3 linked regions of the Callithrix jacchus genome follow. The protein of the gene in region 2 purifies or fractionates together with the protein of the main gene of each other region. This does not show direct contact. Links are inferred from orthologs where the notes say so. Each region holds a gene or a part of one and is shown on either strand. Other genes may lie near its edges.

Evidence for each region.
Region 1: the proteins of CEBPB (region 2) and SMARCC1 purify together in Homo sapiens (affinity purification with western blotting; 3 studies listed by BioGRID, with this or other methods). This does not show direct contact. The link is inferred for Callithrix jacchus from reciprocal best matches to the Homo sapiens genes CEBPB and SMARCC1.
Region 3: the proteins of CEBPB (region 2) and HDAC1 purify together in Homo sapiens (affinity purification with western blotting; 3 studies listed by BioGRID, with this or other methods). This does not show direct contact. The link is inferred for Callithrix jacchus from reciprocal best matches to the Homo sapiens genes CEBPB and HDAC1.

Annotation. Positions count from the first base shown.
Region 1 is NC_133516.1:30,346,892-30,353,109, reverse strand, and holds part of SMARCC1 (SWI/SNF complex subunit SMARCC1), read left to right. Parts: intron 1-2,561; coding exon 2,562-2,820; intron 2,821-3,538; coding exon 3,539-3,700; intron 3,701-6,218. UniProt on the Homo sapiens protein: Involved in transcriptional activation and repression of select genes by chromatin remodeling (alteration of DNA-nucleosome topology).
Region 2 is NC_133506.1:45,724,308-45,730,777, reverse strand, and holds CEBPB (CCAAT/enhancer-binding protein beta), read right to left. Parts: upstream 3,165-6,470; 5' UTR 2,964-3,164; coding exon 1,929-2,963; 3' UTR 1,314-1,928; downstream 1-1,313. UniProt on the Homo sapiens protein: Important transcription factor regulating the expression of genes involved in immune and inflammatory responses. Also plays a significant role in adipogenesis, as well as in the gluconeogenic pathway, liver regeneration, and hematopoiesis.
Region 3 is NC_133508.1:68,928,330-68,934,547, forward strand, and holds part of HDAC1 (histone deacetylase 1), read left to right. Parts: intron 1-1,051; coding exon 1,052-1,169; exon of another isoform or gene 1,170-6,218. UniProt on the Homo sapiens protein: Histone deacetylase that catalyzes the deacetylation of lysine residues on the N-terminal part of the core histones (H2A, H2B, H3 and H4).

The DNA of each region.
Region 1 (6,218 bases), on a different chromosome or scaffold from region 2:
ATGAAGCTGTTTTGTAGTAATATAAGATACTTATTAAAAACTTTAATTGAATCATCCTCCTTCCTGGCCAGTGCGTTACCATATTATTCTCTTTTCAAAACATTTCTTTAATTTCCCTCTCTTATTAACACTACTGTCAGTTCCCAGGCTCAGACATTTACTGATTCTCAGCTCTATGCTGTGCTGTATGCTGATTCTTGCTTAGATTTTGCATTTCAGAGGTTCCCCAACTCCACCTCTATTCTGGAAAAAACTTTCTGAACTTTATTATTCCTTGGCTGAAGGAACATAAAAAAATATTTTTAAAATAAAACTTCATTGGAAAAGGGCATGATATAGCATATCTAGAAAGTTCCTATTTATAGTTAGAAACGTAATACAGCCCCAGTAGCTATATTTCTGCTTTCATGGACCCTAGTGAGACAGATTTTTTTTTTCTTTTTTCTTACAATCTGGGTCTTTCAAAAAGTAATTCCTTCTCAAACTATCTAAGGTTATCAAATATCCAGAGGTCACTGAATATCCAGAGGAAACCCAGAATTAGCCTAGTTTTTCAAGGGATTTAATGAGTCAGTCCATTTGCTGGCTTGGGTTTTGAGAAATCCTCTACCATTCTAGCAAAAATGAAAGCCTGAGCAGCAGTTGAAACCCAGAGTTAAGAATTAATTGATGGCCAGGTCCACTGTTTGACACCTGTAATCTCAGCACTTGAGGAGGCTGAGATGGGAGGATTGCTTGAGCTCAGGATTCTGTGACCATCCTGGGTAATATTGTGAGACCCTGTCTCTAAAAATTAAAAACAAAAACCTTTGAAGAAAAATAACCGAAAAGTAAACAGAGACAACTATTGTTATAGAAAACTCATCTCACAGTGTAGATGAGCAAATTAGGCTCTAGCACAAGGCTTTTCAGTTGGAGCATTCAATATCGACATTTGGGCCAGATTTTTTTGTTGTTAGGGTGGAGGATTCATGTATGTTTTACAGCATACCTAGCCTCTCCTTGCTAGACACCAGTAGCACTTCCCCAGTTGGGTCAACCGAAAATAACCGCAGACATTGCCATGTCCTCAAGGGGGCAAAAATTACCCTTCATTGAAAACCATGGCCCTGGAGAGAAGGGTGTTAGAGTAGCAACTTCAGCAGGTCTCTAAATAAATTCTTTTTATCCAATTAATTCCCAACTTTCTTAGCACCATGTAGATGTGGTTTTCTTTCTACCATTCTTTCGGTTTTTCCCTTGGAGACTCATTTTACTCTGTTTGTTTGTTTGTTTCAGGATTTATAAAACTAGAAATATATGTACTTTATACCTTTTAGATTTATCAATTTCTACTAAAATGAAGCCTACTTGGACTTTGAGATTGTACTGAATTTGTTGCAGTTCAACTTGGAAAAGAATTGACATCTTAATACTGAGACTTCTAGTGAATGAACACAATATATCTTTATCTTATTTAGATCTTTGAGTTCTCTCATGTTTTACTCATGTTGCTCATATACATACTTTGTTATGTTTATTCCTAAATATTTCATTATGCTGTTTAAGACAGGGTCTTACTCTGTTTGTCAGGCTGGTCTTTAACTCCTTGGTTCGAGAGATTCTCTCACCTCAGCTCCCTGAGTAGCTGGGACTATAGATGTGTGCCACCACACCCAGCTTTTAGGTTATTTTAAATACTTTTTTCTTCCTGTTTAAAATTGTTCATTGTTATTATATATGGAAATATAATTGAGTTTTTCTGTTGTCCTTCTATCCTGTGACTTTGCTCAGCTATTTAGTTTTAGTACTTTTTTTTAATAGCTTCCTTAGAAATATCTATATAAACAGTCATGTCTGTATTTTAAAAAGTTTTACTTCTTTCTTTCCCTTTTTCTTTTTTCTTTCTTCTCTCTTGTCTCTGTTTTTCTGTTTCTCTCTCTCCGTCTTTCTCCCTCCCCACCTCCCCTGCCTTTCCTCCCCTTCCCCTTCCCCCTCCCCTCCCCTCCCTCTCCCCCTCCCCTCCCTCGGCTTCCTTACCTCCCTCCTCCCCTCCCCCCCTTGCTTTCTGTGTTTTTTTTTTTTCTTTTCTTTTTGCTCTTATTGCCCAGACTGGAGTGCAGTGACAAGATCTTGGTTCACGTCTGCCTCCCAGGTTCAAGAGATTATTGTACCTCAACCTCCCAAGTAGCTGGGATTACAGGCGTGCACCACTGTGTTGGCTAATTTTTGTATTTTTAGTAGAGATGGGGTTTCATCATGTCGTTGGCCATGTTGCTGAACTCCTGACCTCAGGTGATCCACCCATCTCAACCTCCCAAAGTGCTTGGATTATAGATTTGAGCCACCACACCTGGCCTACTATTTCTTTCTAGTATGCATGCCGTTTATTTATTGTTTCTCGCCTGATTGAAAACCTAATATAAGGAAAGCCATTTCCTTATGTATATTTCCTTACATATGTTTCCTTATGTATAATATATTGCATTAATTTTTTTTGAAACAGCTATATAAAAAACTTGTAATACTACACATTACTTTCTTGTTACCTGACATGAAAGCTTCTGGTTTTTCTATTTTAGGCCCTGGAGATGTACAAGGACGATTGGAATAAAGTGTCAGAACATGTCGGAAGTCGTACTCAGGATGAATGTATCCTCCACTTTTTGAGACTTCCCATTGAGGACCCATACCTTGAGAATTCAGATGCTTCCCTTGGGCCTTTGGCCTACCAGCCTGTCCCCTTTAGTCAGTCAGGAAATCCAGTCATGAGTACTGTTGCTTTTTTGGCATCTGTGGTGGACCCTCGCGTGGCATCTGCTGCAGCAAAAGCGGCTTTAGGTATGGACTTCCCTAAACCATCTCCTCAACAGAAAAACTGAATTTAAATATTATTAGCTGTTACATTCATTCTTTAAAAATATAAATAACAAAAATCAGATATTACCCATGAAAAGTACCATATTACCATGTTCTTTATAAAAGTATTTGGAAATAATGCACCTTAAAATTAAGAGCCTTAGGAATTGGAGGGACAGAGGTTTTTGTTTTTAAATTCCAACAGTATGTAGAGGGTACCATAAAGAGATTTTTTTATTGTATATTTTGTGATTAATTTAGAATTTGATATAACTAGCAATATTTAATATTTACCGATGACATGTTAATTATAACTAGAACTTTCTCACATCATGGAACTCTTTCTTGGTTTTATAGATGTTTAGTTCTTGTTGTTTTTGTTTCTGTGATTTATTAATCTAGTAAGCAAAGTTAAATATGGACAGCAATTTTCATTATTGTTCGTATAAGTTGAAAGGTATCTTTTATTTCAAGGCACTGTGTGATGTGTAGGATAAAATCGAGAGTCATAGAATTTTATTATTGTCTATTTTTATCTCATTTAGTTCTCTCATATCGCTGGTATAGAGGGACTGAGAGCCTGGAGAGGTTGCTACACCTAAGACAATAATATTGTGTTGTGTTTTCTGGTGGCGGTTTTACATTGAAACAAATTTTTCTGCAAAATTAGATTGCTGTTCTATTTTTATTCTTGAACCAGAGGAATTTTCTCGGGTCCGGGAGGAGGTACCACTGGAATTGGTTGAAGCTCATGTCAAGAAAGTACAAGAAGCAGCACGAGCCTCTGGGAAAGTGGATCCCACCTACGGCCTAGAGAGCAGCTGCATTGCGGGCACAGGGCCCGATGAGCCAGAGAAGCTTGGTGAGTCACTGCTGCTTTCCAGGACAGGGTTAATTTATGTTTGTATTCTGTCAGCTTACTTAAATAATTGGGTTTACTTGCACTTAAAAGTGAGTACAGTGATCAGTATAAGCTTGTCTTTTAAGATTATTACATGGCTTTTTTTTCCCTCTTGTTTGTTTCTTTTAGTAGCTAGAACTAAAAATTTGTCTTGTAACTGTTAATGGTATTGCAGTTGTAAATTATCTGCTTGCTGTTTATAGATCTAGGTTTTGAATAGACAGATATAAGAATCCTGAAAGATGCATGGAACTATAGGTGAAAAAAAGGAATACTGAAAGGACTTATGATCATGTTAATATGTTGCTGAGTGAATTTAAATTTGTTTCGGTTTTCTTTTTAGCTGAGGAAACATTACTGTAACATAAAATTCATCATCTTAACTGCTTAAAAGTATATAATCTAGTAGCTTCTAGTATATTTACAATGCTGTGTGTCTATTACCACTATCTAATTCCAGAACATTTTTATCACCCCAAAAGGAAATCACATACTTCTTAAGCAGTTGCTCCCTGTCTCTTCTGCTCTTCAGTGGTAACCACTAACAATCTGCTTTCTGTCTCTATGGGTTTGCCTATTCTGGACATTTAATATAAACAGAATCATATAATATGTGGCCTTTTGTGTCTACTTCTTTGACTTAGCATATGTTTTCAGGTTTATCCATGTTGTAGCATGCATCCATACCTCATTCTTGTCAGTGATGAATCTTTCTTTGGGTGGATATACCCAATTATATTTATCAGTTTATGGACATTTTTTATTGTTTATACTTTTACACTACTATGAAAAATGTTGCTGTGAATGCTTGTGAACAAGCTTTTTTGTGAACAGAGGGATTTCACTTCTTTTGGTTGGGTATATATACCTAGGGGTTGAATTGCTTAGTTACATGGTAATTCTGTTTACCTTTTTGAGAAACTGCCACCCTGTTTTTCATGGTGGCTGTACCAATTTAGGTTCCTACCCATAATGTATGCGTAAGTTCTTCACATTCCTGTCAATACTTGTTTTCTCTATTTTTACCTTAATAGCCAATTAGTGGTTTGATGTTGGGGTTTTTATTTGCATTGATGACGAATGATCTTGAATATCATGTGTTTATTGGCCATTTGTGTATCTTCTTTCAGAAATACCTACTCAGATTCTTGCCCCCCCCCCCCACTTTTTTTCTTAGTAGACTTTATGTTTTAGAGCAGTTTTAGGTTCATAGGAAAATTTAGTAGACATTACAGAGTTTCTGTATACCACCTGACAACCTCCCACATGCAGTTTTCCCCACTTATCAATATATCCAACACCAGAGAGTACATTTGTTATAGCTGATAAACCTACTTTAACACATCATCATCAACCATAGTCCAAAGCTTTAGTTTATTCTGTAATTGATTCTCACATGTTCAACCACCGTCCCTTTTTGTTTATTGGATTTATTTTGTTTTTATTTTAATAAATTTGACTTGGCCTTTGTAAATAATCAATTTAACATGGTATCAGATTTGGTTTGCTAGTATTTTGTTGAACATTTTTGCATCTGTATTCATCAGGGATATTGCTTGTAGTTTTTTTCTGTGATACATTTGTCTAGTTTTGGTGTTACAGTAATACCAACCTCAAAGAATTAGTTAGGATTTGTTCTGTTTTTTTTTAGAAGTTTGAGAAGCATTGGAGTTAATTCTTTAAATGTTTGGTAATATTCACCTGTGGAGCCACAGAGTTCTGGGCTTTTCTTTCTTGATTACTGATTTTGTCTCTTAACTTATAATTCTACTGAAATTTAAACATTTCTTAATAAGTCAGTTTTGGTAGTTTGTGTCTTTATAGGAATTTGCTCATTTCGTTTAGATTATCTAATTTGTTGGCAAAAAATTTATAACAACAAAAAGGGGAAGCAACTGAAATGTACATCATCCTATGTGTGATAAGCAAAATGTGGTATATCCATACAATGGAATATTACTTGGCAATAAAGAAGAATGAAATATTGACATATGTCATATCATGGATTAAATTGGAAACATTTGCTAAGTGAAAAGCCAGTGAAAATAGCCAGTATGTTATATGATTGCATTTATAAGCAACGTCCTGAAGAGGCAAATCTATGGACAGTTGGATATCAGTGAGGTATTCTCAAGCCTAAAATCTTACCATTTTTATGAGTTTGCATAGGGCCTACTCCTGCTCTGTCTACTTTGTTTGAATTAAGTGCCAATCTACCTATCTCATTTTGCTGATATGGAAACCTTTTCAGATTAATGAAGCCAAGCCTCTCATCCCTGCTGCTGTCATTTGGATATGGTTTGTTTGTCCTCACCAAACTTATGTTGAACTTTGATCCCCAATGCAATGGTGTTGAGACGTGTTCGAGTTGTGGAGGCGGATCCTTCATGAATGGCTTGGTGCTATTCTTGTAATAGTGAATGGGTTTTCACTCTCACTCTTGGGGGATTGGATTTGTTCTCCCAGTGATGGATTCATT
Region 2 (6,470 bases):
CATTCTCAAACCAGGAACCACCGTATCAGCAGCTGCTCCTGAGATCCCAGACTGCCCCAGGCCTTTGGCAGGCCAGTCTACAACCCCTGCTGCCCCTGAATTCCTCAGAGCAGGGCAACCCCCAACCTTGTCTTGCCCATAGGGATCGGACAGCCCAAAGCTGCTCCCCACCTCTAGAAACAGGCATCATAACAGTCCCCACCTCCCCAAAGGTTGTTGTGAGGTCTAAATGGGATGGGGCAGGTCCAGTGTTTACCAGATGCCGGCCCCTGGCAAGTAGTGGCCACACTGGCGCTGCACTGGAGACTGGGGTGCCAAATGCCAGCAGCTTCCCAGCGAAAAATAATAACAAGAGCAAGCGCTTATATAACACCTCTTGCATGCCAGGCACTGTGGGACGCTGTACATGCATCCACTCACATCCATCTACATCCTCAACTCTCAGGAATGCCATCCGGGGCTGCATGGGGGTGGGGGTGCAGGGAGAAGCTGGAAGGGTCAGAGGGATCAGGGGGCAGGGAAGAGGAACCTGTCCCAGGGAATAAGGGCTAGCAGCCCCAGGTTCGTGCCTGGACTCAGCCACCTTGAGCAAGCAGGTATGGTGGGCTCAGTGTCCATGTTTGGGCAAAAAAGGGCAAGTGATGAGCCCCCCCATCCCAAGGAAAGGGAATCAAAGTGTGAGAACCCCTTCCCCACCTCCCTCCACCTGGCCTGGCTTCTCCCCTCCTGCTGGCCAGGGACACACAAACACAGACTTGCCCACATACCCAGGCTCCCCTCTTTAAAATACACACGTATACACAAACTGTGTTTTAAACAACCCACCCTACTACACTTACCACAGGCATCTGCCCTGACTCGGACCAAGACCTGAACCCTCTCCTCTTACAGTCACAGGCGTGCCTACGATCCCCAAACACAGGACAGGGGTCACAGACGTCCCAGCCCTTCCAAACCCAAGCCTGACACTCCGGACCAGCCAGAGGCCCTGGACTCCCTTCTCAAGCAGGGTTCCCAGCCACCCGTCCCAGCGCCCAGGGACTCTGAGTCAGCCTGAAAGCCTGAGCCATCACTGTTCTCCCCTTTTCCCCAGAGCTGGAACCCCATCTCCAAGCAGACCCTGTGGGTGGGGGGAGGAGTAGCAGAGGCAGAAAAACCAGCTGCAACACCCCCACCCAACCACCAAAACCTCCAAAAATAACAGCAGCTTCCCCACACACAACCCCCTACACACCAGAAACGCAAAAACAAAATCCAACAAATCCAAAATAAAGAAAAAAAAAAACAAAAGCCAATTACTGCCCCCAAAAGGCTTTGTAACCATTCTCAAAAAAAAGTTTATTAAAAGTGTTCTTACTTAATGCTTGAAACGGAAAAGATTCCCAAAATATACAGACGCCTTTCTCATAGAAATAGATTATTTTTATAATACAAAAAAAAAAAAAAAGACCAAAAAACAAAACAAAACAAAACATCAACAGCAACAAGCCCGTAGGAACATCTTTAAGCGATTACTCAGGGCCCGGCTGACAGTTACACGTGGGTTGCGTCAGTCCCATGTACACACGCGTTCGGCCATGTTTAAACCGATTGCATCAACTTCGAAACCGGCCCGCCCGCCGGCGCCTGGAGAGGGGCAGAGGGAGAGGCAGAGAGTCATTCATCTGTACACATAGACGTTTCTTCTTTAAATAACACCACGGGCGGGCGCCCCATCTGCATGTGCGGTTGATTTGGACAAAAATATAGATATATATATATATATAATAAAATATTAAAATTACCGACGGGCTCCCCGCGCTGCCAAGTGCCCCAGTGCCAAAGTTTTGCCGGCGCCGCCGGGGGCGGGGGCGGGGGCGCGGGCGCGGGTGCGGGCGCTCCCCGGAGTCTCGGCCCCGGCCGGCAGGGGGACGCGCGCGGGGGCCGCGTTAGCAGTGGCCGGAGGAGGCGAGCAAGGGCTCGGGAAGCTGCTTGAACAAGTTCCGCAGGGTGCTGAGCTCGCGCGACAGTTGTTCCACCTTCTTCTGCAGCCGCTCGTTCTCGGCCGTGAGCTCCAGGACCTTGTGTTGCGTCTCCAGGTTGCGCATCTTGGCCTTGTCGCGGCTCTTGCGCACGGCGATGTTGTTGCGCTCGCGCCGGATCTTGTACTCGTCGCTGTGCTTGTCCACGGTCTTCTTGGCCTTGCTCTTGACCTGCGAGGGCGCCGGCGCGGCCCCAGCGTAGCAGGCGGCCGGGGGCGCCTTGGCGTCGGCGGGGCTCGGCGTGCCGGGCGGGCTGGACGACGAGGACGTGGAGAGGCTCCCGCTGCTGCCGCTCGGCACAGCCTGGTAGCCGAGGTAAGCGCGCAGCGCGTACGGGAAGCCCGCCGCCATGCCTGCGCCGCCGCCCGGCGCCCCGGCCTCCTCCTTCCGCTTGCAGTCCGCGGGCTCGAAGCCCGGCTCCGCCTTGAGCTCGGCGGGCGGCGGCGGCGGCGGGGGCGGCGGGTGCAGGGGCGCGAAGCAGCCGGGGTGCAGCGCGCCCTTGGCGGCCCCCAGGCGCCCCAGGCTCACGTAGCCGTACTCGGCCGGCTTCTTGCAGTTCTTGCCCCCGTAGTCGTCGGAGAAGAGGTCGGAAAGGAAGTCGTGGTGCTGCCCGGAGGAGGCGGGCGCGGGGGCGGGCGCAGGCGGAGCCGCCTCGAAGGTGTCCGTGGCCGTGGCGGGCGCCGGGGCCTGCGGCGCGCCCAGCGGCTCCAGGTACGGGCTGAAGTCGATGGCGCGCTCGTGGTCGCCGATGCTGCCCAGCTCGCCGGCGGGGGGGCGCGGCCCGGGTCTGGCCGCGGGGGGCGCCGCGGGGGCCGCCTTGCCGCCGTACGCAGCAGCCAAGCAGTCCGCCTCGTAGTAGAAGTTGGCCACTTCCATGGATTTAAAGGCAGGCGGCGGCGGCAGGGGGAGACATGCTGGGTCCCAGGCCACCAGGCGTTGCATGAACGCGGGTGCCCGGGGAGGGGGCCTGGGGCTGCCCGCTCCGGCCGGCCCGCAGGTGGCGCGGCCTCCCTGCTGTGAGCTGTCGCCGCTGCGTCGCTGCTGCTGCCGCGGCTGCCGGGGTGGCCGCTATTAGTGCGGGGGCTGGTGGCTGGACCCTCGGGTGGGTCCCCTTCCCAGTCCCGTGCGCGGCTCTGACTCGCTAAAGTTTCTCCTGAGCCCGGTTATTTATAAGGGCGGCCCGTAGCAACCGTGCGTCACGCCGGCCCCTCCCGCCGCCGCCACCGGGACGCGGAGGACACGGCCGCGGACGCCCGAGACCCCCGGGAGGCCGGTGGCGGGGCGCAGCGGAGGGACCGGGCACCCGGAGCGCGTTTTCCGGGGGTCCCCGGGCCGCGGGGGGAGCGGCATCGCGCCCCCTGCCCACCCGCGCTCGGCCGCCCCGGGATTGGGAGCGAGAGGGGGCGGTGCGACCCCGCCCCCGGACCGCCCCTCTGGGCTGGAGGCTGCCCTGAAAGGCGGGGGAATCCGAGGAGGGGGCGACCTGAGCGCCTTCCCCCCGGAGACGCGGCCGCGGCCCGCCCCCTGCTGGAGGAGGCGGAGGTTTCAGGAGGGCCGAGCCGAGCCCGGACTGCCGACCGGGGGCCGCTCCCCGGGCCGATCCCTGGAGACCCCAGGCCGCAGCTCTAGCTCCTGGAGAAGCGACCCATCCCCGTGGCCCTTCCTCTCCTAAACTCCCACCCCTTCCCCAGGTCCCTGGCTCTAGAAAGGAGACTCCAGGCCTGTGACGACTCCCTCTTAAGCCACCAATATGAGGATCCCGGGGGTCGGGGAGGGGACAGGGCAGGAGCGCGCTCCGCTGGGGGCTGGACCCTGGTGGACGGCGCCCCGCCCACCTCACCTGCCGCCTGCTCGCGGCTTCAACACCTGGGTCTTCTCCCACCCCGCACCGCACCACCCGACCTGGGCCCTGCGATGGGGATGGAGTTGGGGGGCGCTCGGCCCTGCCACACTGTGTGACCTTGGGTGAGTCCCTTCACTTCTCCCAGCTGCAGTCCATGAAGGGTGTCCCTACTGTCAGCAGTGGTGGCATTGTTCCTACAGACTCCCCAACCTGAGGTTTACCTTATAGGCAGCACATCGGAGAAAAAGGGACCCCCACGGATTGTGCCACTGGAGGCCCAGAGGGGGCATAGCATGGCATACCAAGGTCACAGCCTAGTGTCCCGCCCACATTCATCCCACACGAAATGCCTGCCCTCTCTGGGCCCTAAGACCTATTGCCAGCCCCAGAGACCAAAAAGCTTCTGTTTCTGAAGCTGCCGTGAGCGGCTTAAGCCAGGCCTCACGGGAGAGGGGGTGGCATTCAGGAAAGAGAAGAGACACCCCTGTTTTTACCAAGTCCCTGCCCTGTGCTCGGGGTGGGCCTGGACCCCAAGGTTCAACTTTTTTCACCCCACCAGGAAGATGCTTCTGCTGCTGCCTTTTCACAGACGGGAAAGTGACAAGCACCAGTCTGGACTTGAGCACAGGCCAGAGGTCCTCTGACCACTGCCCGCCTCTGCTGGGTAGGCTCAGGTCAGAGGGCCCTTTGCCCTCCGGGACCCACTCCTAGGCCACTGGGGCAGCTCCCTGGGCCCACCTCTCTGCCACTCCTAGCCCAGGCTGCCCAGGCAGGAGCTCCCAGCCTGCCAGGGGCTGACCCCCGGCCCACTGACCCCAGCCCTGGCCCCAGCAGGCAGGCGGGCATTGCTCAACCTTCGATGTTATCTGCTGAGCTGGGGTGACCTCTGCCCCCAAGAGCTGGAGAAATAACATTTCTGGGCACCCTTGGTGGGTAGGAGGCAGGGAGGGAGGGGATAGAACACTGGCCGAGCCTGCTGGCTTTCTGGGCCTTCCCAGCAGCCTCTGAGCTGGGGAGGGATCAAGGCCCAGAGGGGTGCAGCAGTTTCCCCAGGGCCACCCGGCCAGGCCTTCCTCACTGGAAAATGGGACACTCGGGGCTGAGCTAGAGGCCACGGCTTCAGAGCAGCCCTCTCTGTCCCCCCTGCTGGCGAATTTCCTTCCCTATCACCAGCCTCCATTCTCCTAGTGGTCTATCTCAGTCTCCCTGCAGACTGCCGCTCAGGGAGGGCTGGCCCACGAGGAATTCCTGGGTGCAGCACACTCAACATGGACCCGTGAATGAATGCATTTGCTGTTCCCTATGCACCAAGAACACTGTCACCCCACCTCTGCCCAAGGCAGCTCCTCAGTTCTCAGCCCAAAGGCTGCCTCCTCCAGGAAACCGCCCCCTGTCCAATCTCCCCATGGGAAGTCCAGCCCCTCAGTCGATCCTCTCACACCCCCCTGCTGTCACAATTCTTACTATGATCGGAATTATCTCACCTGCCCATCTTGCTGTCTGTCCCCATGGCCTTCACCACTGTGTCCCCGGTGCCTAGAACAGAGCCTGGTACACAGAAGGTGCTCAATGAATGAACAATGGAGGAGGCTGAGAAGAAGGAGAGGTTCCTCGTTTGCCTTAGGCAAAATGGCTTCCCTCTCTGAGCCACAGCACTCGTCCACATCCCCCTTCTGGATTCTAAAGAGACGAAATGAGATTTGGGAGACTGAAGGATTGGAGGATTTGCTGTGTGTCCTCAGGCCAATCTTCCACCCTCTCTGAACCACATTCCAAGCTCTTTGCATGTATTAATTCATTTAATCTTCTTGATAATTTGAGGAGGCAGGTCTGTTTTTTTTCTTTTTCTATATTTTTTGAAGTTTTGTGGAGATGGGTGTCTCACTATGTTGCCCAGGCTTTTCTCAAATTCTTGGCCTCAAGTGGTGCTCAGCTTCCAAAGTGCTGAAATTATGGGTGTGAGCCATTGCGCCAGGCCAGAGTCTTACCATCATCTCCACTTTACAGATGAGGACACTGAGGCCCAGAAGAACTGAGTGTGTGTGCCCCAGGTCACACGGAAGGATGAGAAGGAACGAAATCTGCCCAGCCCGACTTTCCCCCTCGGGTTTGTCACAACAGGCCTGGCAATGTGAGTCCCAGCTTCTGGAGAGGAAAACTGAGGCCCAGAGAAGAGTAGCCCAGAGGGTCTCACGCTCTGGGTTAAGTGTTACTTGGACCCTGAGGGCCAGCCCCCAAAGACCAGGCTCGGCCCCGCAGGGGTCCAGGCCCTATGGCCTCCAGAGTGGAGCATGCTTGCCACCCTTCCCCACCCTCCACCCCCTGCCGGGGATGACCCATTCGTTCTCAGGGCAGGTCCCACCCCGGTGCCACCCCAGGTGTCCTGCAGGGAAGCTGCAAGCTAGGATGACGTAAGCCCTTGTTTTTACAAGGCTCTTGCTCAACAGGCCCCGCCTGCTGCTTCCCTACCCCCACCCCAGTCCTGTTCAGCCTTTCCCCAAGGAGGAGAATGGTGGGAACTTGAACCACGACGGCCCGGAGGCCCAGAGCATGTGAGTGGCTGTGTGGGCCCAGGAAGCCAGGATCCCCCTGGTGCTACCTCTCCC
Region 3 (6,218 bases), on a different chromosome or scaffold from region 2:
TGGCCAACATGGTGAAATTCCGTCTCTACTAAAAACAAAAAAAAATTAACGGGGCGTGGTGGCATGCACCTGCAGTCCCAGCTACTCAGGAAGCTGAGGCAGGAGGATCACTTGAGGCAGAGGTTGCAGTGAGCCAAGATTGCGCCACTGTACTCCAGCCTGGTGACAGAACAAGACTCCATCTCAAAATCAATAAATATTATATAAAATTATGGACAGGCCGGGCGTGGTAGCTCAAGCCTGTAATCCCAGCACTTTGGGAGGCCGAGGCGGGTGGATCACGAGGTCAAGAGATCAAGACCATCCAGGTCAACATGGTGAAACCCCGTCTCTACTAAAAATACAAAAAATTAGCTGGACATGGTGGCGCGTGCCTGTAATCCCAGCTACTCAGGAGGCTGAGGCAGGAGAATTGCTTGAACCCAGGAGGCGGAGGTTGCAGTGAGCCGAGATCGCGCCATTGCACTCCAGCCTGGGTAACAAGAGCGAAACTCCGTCTCAAAAAAAAAAAAAAAAAATACAAAAATTAGCTGGGCATGATGGTGGGCTCCTGTAATCTCAACTGTTCGGGAGGCTGAGGCAGGAGAATCACTTGAACCCGGGAGGCTGAGGTTGCAGTGAGCCGAGATCATGCTATAGCACTGCAACACTCCAGTCCAGGTGACAGAGCAAGACTCTGTCTCAAAAAAAAAAAAAAAGGTAATAATTTTGTAAAACACTTTACAGTTTACAAAGAGATTTAACAGTCTCATCCAATTCTCACAACTTCCCTGTGCGGTCCATGTTGTCCCTGTTTAGTAAATAAGGAAATGGAGGCTCAAGAGATAAGAACTTGCCTAAGTCATAGAGCTTGAGCTGCTCTAGGTCTTCTGATACATCTTGTTTGCCTAGTTAGATGATAAATTTCTTGAGGCCTGAATCTAATCAGTTATTTCTTTTTATTCTTCATAGCAGCTAGCTCCATGCTGTGCAGAAATATAAATGTTCAGACTAGATTGAGTGGACTGGCAATGGTCAAAATAACTTGCCCTTTCTCCCTTCTGCCCTCTAGCGCCCTCACAAAGCCAATGCTGAGGAGATGACCAAGTACCACAGCGATGACTACATTAAATTCTTGCGCTCCATCCGTCCAGATAACATGTCCGAGTACAGCAAGCAGATGCAGAGATGTAAGTCCATTCTGTTCCCTCCACACTCTCCAGCCCCCAGTTGCATCTCCCTTTCCACTGCAGAGGCCTGCTCTCCTGTCCTTGAGCCTCCCCTTCAGTGGACACCTGATTTCCCCTGCCTCCCAAAGGTGCCAGAGTGCTTTTACCCTTCAAGTTTGGTTTTTCTTTTATATATCTGTATATTATACCTCCTTGTTTCATCTGAAAGTCTGATTTCTCATGTTTCCTCATTGTAAATGATAGAGGTAGGACTTTTTCTGATTATGTTCACAACACTGTTCTAAGAGTACTGTAATTATTGTAGTGGAAAAATAATTTTCCTGACCCAGGACGGGGAGACAATAGATACAGTAAAATTTAACTCTAACTCTCAGCTGACTGGGCAACTCACTTCCCCTCAGATTCTTCTTTTGTAAAGTGGGCTGGGCCACATGATCTCTCATTTCTGTCCAACTGTAACTGTTTTGACTTTGTGGGTATTAGTTGAGAATTTAGAGGCCACTCAGGACAGATTCTAGGCAGTGCTGTCTTTGAGATGAGGTCATTCTGCCCTTGACCCCTTAGACTTGAAACTTAAGAACAGGTCCATCTTAGAAGCCACACTTAGTTTGTGGAATCATGGGGATTATTTTAGCTGTAGGGAAAAAAAAAATGTTCAAATTCGGCACAAAATTATCATATGTGACTTCCCCCTTGTGTTATTTTAGAAATTATCTCTTAGCATCTAAGACTTCATATAGTGTAGCAGCATTGTCCCAGAAGAAGTTTTGATTAACTTATGACAGCTTATGTTGTGTCAGAAAATATTCGGCACTTGTTTATTGCTGCTGACCACAAGGTAGTCTTATTCCCGAGGAAGAAAGTTATTTGTTAGTTATAATAACTGTACAGTGGTATTGATGACAGAACCACAGAGACTTTCCTTGAAGCATTGAGCTGCTTTGCTACCAACAACTGGAGGAGCTGCCAGCTGCTGAGTGAGGTATTTGCTCTCTGAATTGCAGGGTCTCATTCCCCTCCAAGATGAGACAAATTCATGCTTTTCCTGTAGATGGCTTTAGAGGTTTCCTTAACCCATTTAGGCCAAGAATCAGGCTCTACTCACAGGAGGGTGGGCTCTTACTAGAGGAGCAGCTTGGTATTAAAGCAAGAAAATGACCTTTAATGTCTTAGTTTGAATCCTTGGTCTCCTAAACCCTCTGGTGTTATTTTCCCTCTTTAAGAGGAAGACAGGCCAGGCACAGTGATTCATGGCTGTAATCCTAGCCCTTTGGGAAGCAATCCTCAAGAGGATTGCTTGAGCCCAGACAGGAGTTTGAGACCAGCCTGGGCAACATAGTGAGACCCCCATCTCTACAAAAGTAAAAAAGTTGGCTGGGCATGGTAGTACACACCTGTGGTTCCTGCTACTCAGGAAGCTGAAGAGGGAGGATCTGTTGAGCCTGGAAGGTCAAGGCTGCAGTGAGCCATGATTATATCACTGCACTCCAGCCTGGGCAACAGAGTGAGACCAAAAAAATTTTTAAAAGACAGTAATAGTCAAGGATGGGGGGATAAGTAAAGATAATGTATTTGAAGTATCTACCCTCAATGAATAGTAGCTTTTGCTATTATAACTTATTTTTGTTATTTACAAACTTATCAAGGCAGAAAATATTATGCCCTTAGGAGTGTGCAGGTTCTGCTCTGGTGCTCCAGTTTTTCTGAATCCAGCATTCTAAAGTTGTACATTAAAAAATTCAGTCTGGCCGGGCACAGTGGCTCATGCCTGTAATCCCAGCACTTTGGGAGGCCAAGGCGGGCGGATCACCTGGGGTTGGATGTTTAAGACACAATGGCACATGCCTGTGATTCTGGCTACTCAGGAGCCTGAGGCAAGAGGATCCCTTGAGCCCAGTTCAAGGCTGCATTGAAGGACGGTCTCATCTTGCCACCATGCTCCAGGCTGGGCAGTATAGCAAAAACTTAAGTCAAAGAAAACAACAATAAAACACACACACATACACACACCCCATCCCACACACCTAACCTAGGAAGTTATACTTGTGATAAGACCAAATACGTCAGGTTTCCTTGCTCATAGCTGAAATGTAATAAACCTTTTCTGGTCACTTTGACAGCCTTGATCAGAAGTTCTGACCTAATATTTAGCAAGCGAAAATGGGAACACAAGTAAATGCATTTAGGGGGCTTATGGTGAAAATGTGATAAAAGATTGGTAGAAAATTGGGAGACATTCTCATCCATTTTATAAACATGTAAACTTTTCCAGGCACACAGCAAGGTGGTGATAGAATGCAGAATGGAACTCTAGTCCCCTAGTTCTAGAGTTATTTAAAATATAGTGCATATAAAATATTTTAGACACATAGGCCAGGCACGGTGGCTCATGCCTGTAATCCCAGCACTTTGGGAGGCCGAGGCCGGTGAATCACTTGATTTGAGACCAGCCTGGCCAGCACGGCAATACCCTGCCTCTACTAAAAATACAAAAATTAGCTGTGTGTGGTGGCATATGGCTGTAATCGTATCTACTGGGGAGGCTGAGGGATGAGAATCGCTTAACCTGGGAGGCGGAGGTTGCAGTGAGCCAAGATTGTGCCACTGTACTCCAGGCTGGGTGACAGAGCAAGACCCCATCTCAAAAAAAGAAAAAAACGTATTTTAGACACACACAAAAAGCATAAAAAGTAATATAATGAACATTAGTGTGCCCACTGCCCAGCCTGAGGAAAAAGACATTATTAGCTGGGCTCAGTGGCTTAAGCCTGTAAACCCAGCACTTGGCTGAGGCAGGTGGATCAAGAGGTTAGGAGTTCAAGACCAGCCTGGCCAACATGATGAAACCCTGTCTCTATATACAAAATTAGCCAGGCATGGTGGCACATGCCTGTAATCCCAGGTACTCGGGAGCCTGAGGCAGGAGAATCACTTGAACTTGGGAGGTGGGAGTTGCAATGAGTTAAGATTGTGCCACTGCACTCCAGCCTAGGCAACAGAGGGTGACTCCATCTCAAAAACAAGAAAAAAAGAAAACATTATCAATACCGTTGATGCCCCCATGGGCATCTTTCCTTGATCACATACCCTTTCTCCCCCACTCCCACAACCCCCCACCCTATTACTAGCATGGCCAAGGTATAAGCACTGTCCTGAGGTTAGTGTTTAATCCCCACATCTCTTTCTGCAATGAGCATTTTACTGCCTTCTCTGCCTACCTCTGCTTCCACCTCACTCCTAGTATTGCTTCCCTTTAGTCTAAAGGTAGTCAGAACGAGAAAAGTGTTTATAGCAGAAAGAGAGAAGAGAGAAAACCCATAGAAAAGTCCTCCCTAAGGCTGGGGGCGGTGGCTCACGACTGTAATCCCAGCACTTTGGGAGGCTGAGGTGGGTGAATCACTTGAACCTGGGAGGTGGAGGTTGCAGTGAGCAGAGATCACGCCAGGCATTCCAGCCTGGGAGACAGATTGAGACTCCATCTCAAAAAAAAAAAGAAAGAAAAGTCCTCCCTAGCCTCACAGATTAGCTCACCTGAGTATCTGCTCTTCCATCTTCCCCTTTCCATCTCTAATCACATAGCTTATTGACTGGGAATAAGTGGGCTGGTCATTTGAGCCACATGCTGGTTTGGGGCCTGAAGAAAAATATATATTTTTTTCTCATGTCCAAAACACCCATTTCTTCCCATGGGGGCTCCATATCCAAATAAGAGTATAAACAAAGCTTTGGAAACACAAGCATGCCAAACTCTGTCCTGGAGGAAGTGGCCAGAGAGGGAAATCAGTTGCCAATGGATAAACAGCCTGGACCCAGGGACCAAAGTCTTATTTACACAGCCTCCCAGTGTTTACCCAGGAAATGAGGAAGAGAGCCACCCGCTGCATACTCCCTCATGCAGCCCCACTTCCTCAGAGCACCTGATCTTGGCACCTCCAAGTTCAAGGCAGACCAGAGCTGGTAATTCCGGTGGTTATTGTAGATATTGAGCTTCTACTGTGTCTTGTGATTTTACATCACAGTCCAAACTGGGCTCTTCTGCTCTCATCCAGGGCACGCCTTCCTCTACTTTAGGAACCCCTGTTGATAACAGTGGGTACAGTAGAAGGCTGGGCAAGAGAGTAAGTATGCAGCCCCACACCTGCCTCTGACTTCCTGTAGCTCATTGATGTCTCACAGCAGTTACCTTTTCTTTCTTTCCTTTTTTTTTTTTTTTTGTTTGAGATGGAGTCTCGCTCTGTTGCCTAGGCTGGCTAGAGTGCAGTGGTGCGGTCTCGGCTCATTGCAACCTCCGCCTCCCAGATTCAAGTGGTTCTCCTGCCTCAGCCTCCTGAGTATCTGAGATTACAGGTGCATGCCCGGCTAATTTTTGTATTTTTAGTAGAAAACGGGTTTCGCCATGTTGGCCGGGCTGGTCTCAAACTCCTGACCTCAAGTGATTTGTCCCCCTTGGCCTTCCTAAGTGCTGGGATTACAGGTGTGAGCCACCGCGCCTGGCCAGCAGTTATGTTTTCTGTGAGAGGAAATTGGAGCTATAAGTGTCCTCTAGGTCTGGGAGTCTACAGCCTCCAGGTGTGCTTTCCTTCCTGTTTTCATTTCATTTGCCTTATTATTTGCATATGTTTCCACATTATGTACTACTTGGTACTTTCACCCCATTAGGTCCAAAATAACTTTACTCCAGTCGTCACTGTGAATGTAGGAGTAAGACACAGGACTGTGGGAGTCAAGACCCCTGAACCCTGATTCTGGTTCTGCTACTGCCTGGTTTTATAACTTTGGGAAAATCACTTAACTTCTTGGTATCTGTTTGTTCCTCCACACAGTGGGGTTGATATCTGTCTTGTTCAGCTCATAGAGTTGTTATGAGGATCAAACGAGGTTGTGTATGTGAAAGGACTTGCAAAAGAGCCAGGGTATATTTTCACAGACAGATATTTTCACAGATACTGTAAGACAGACAAACCGGTTGGGTGCAGTGGCTCATGCCTGTAATACCAACACTTTGGGAGGCCGCGGCAGGTAGATCACAGGGTCAGGAGTTCGAGACCA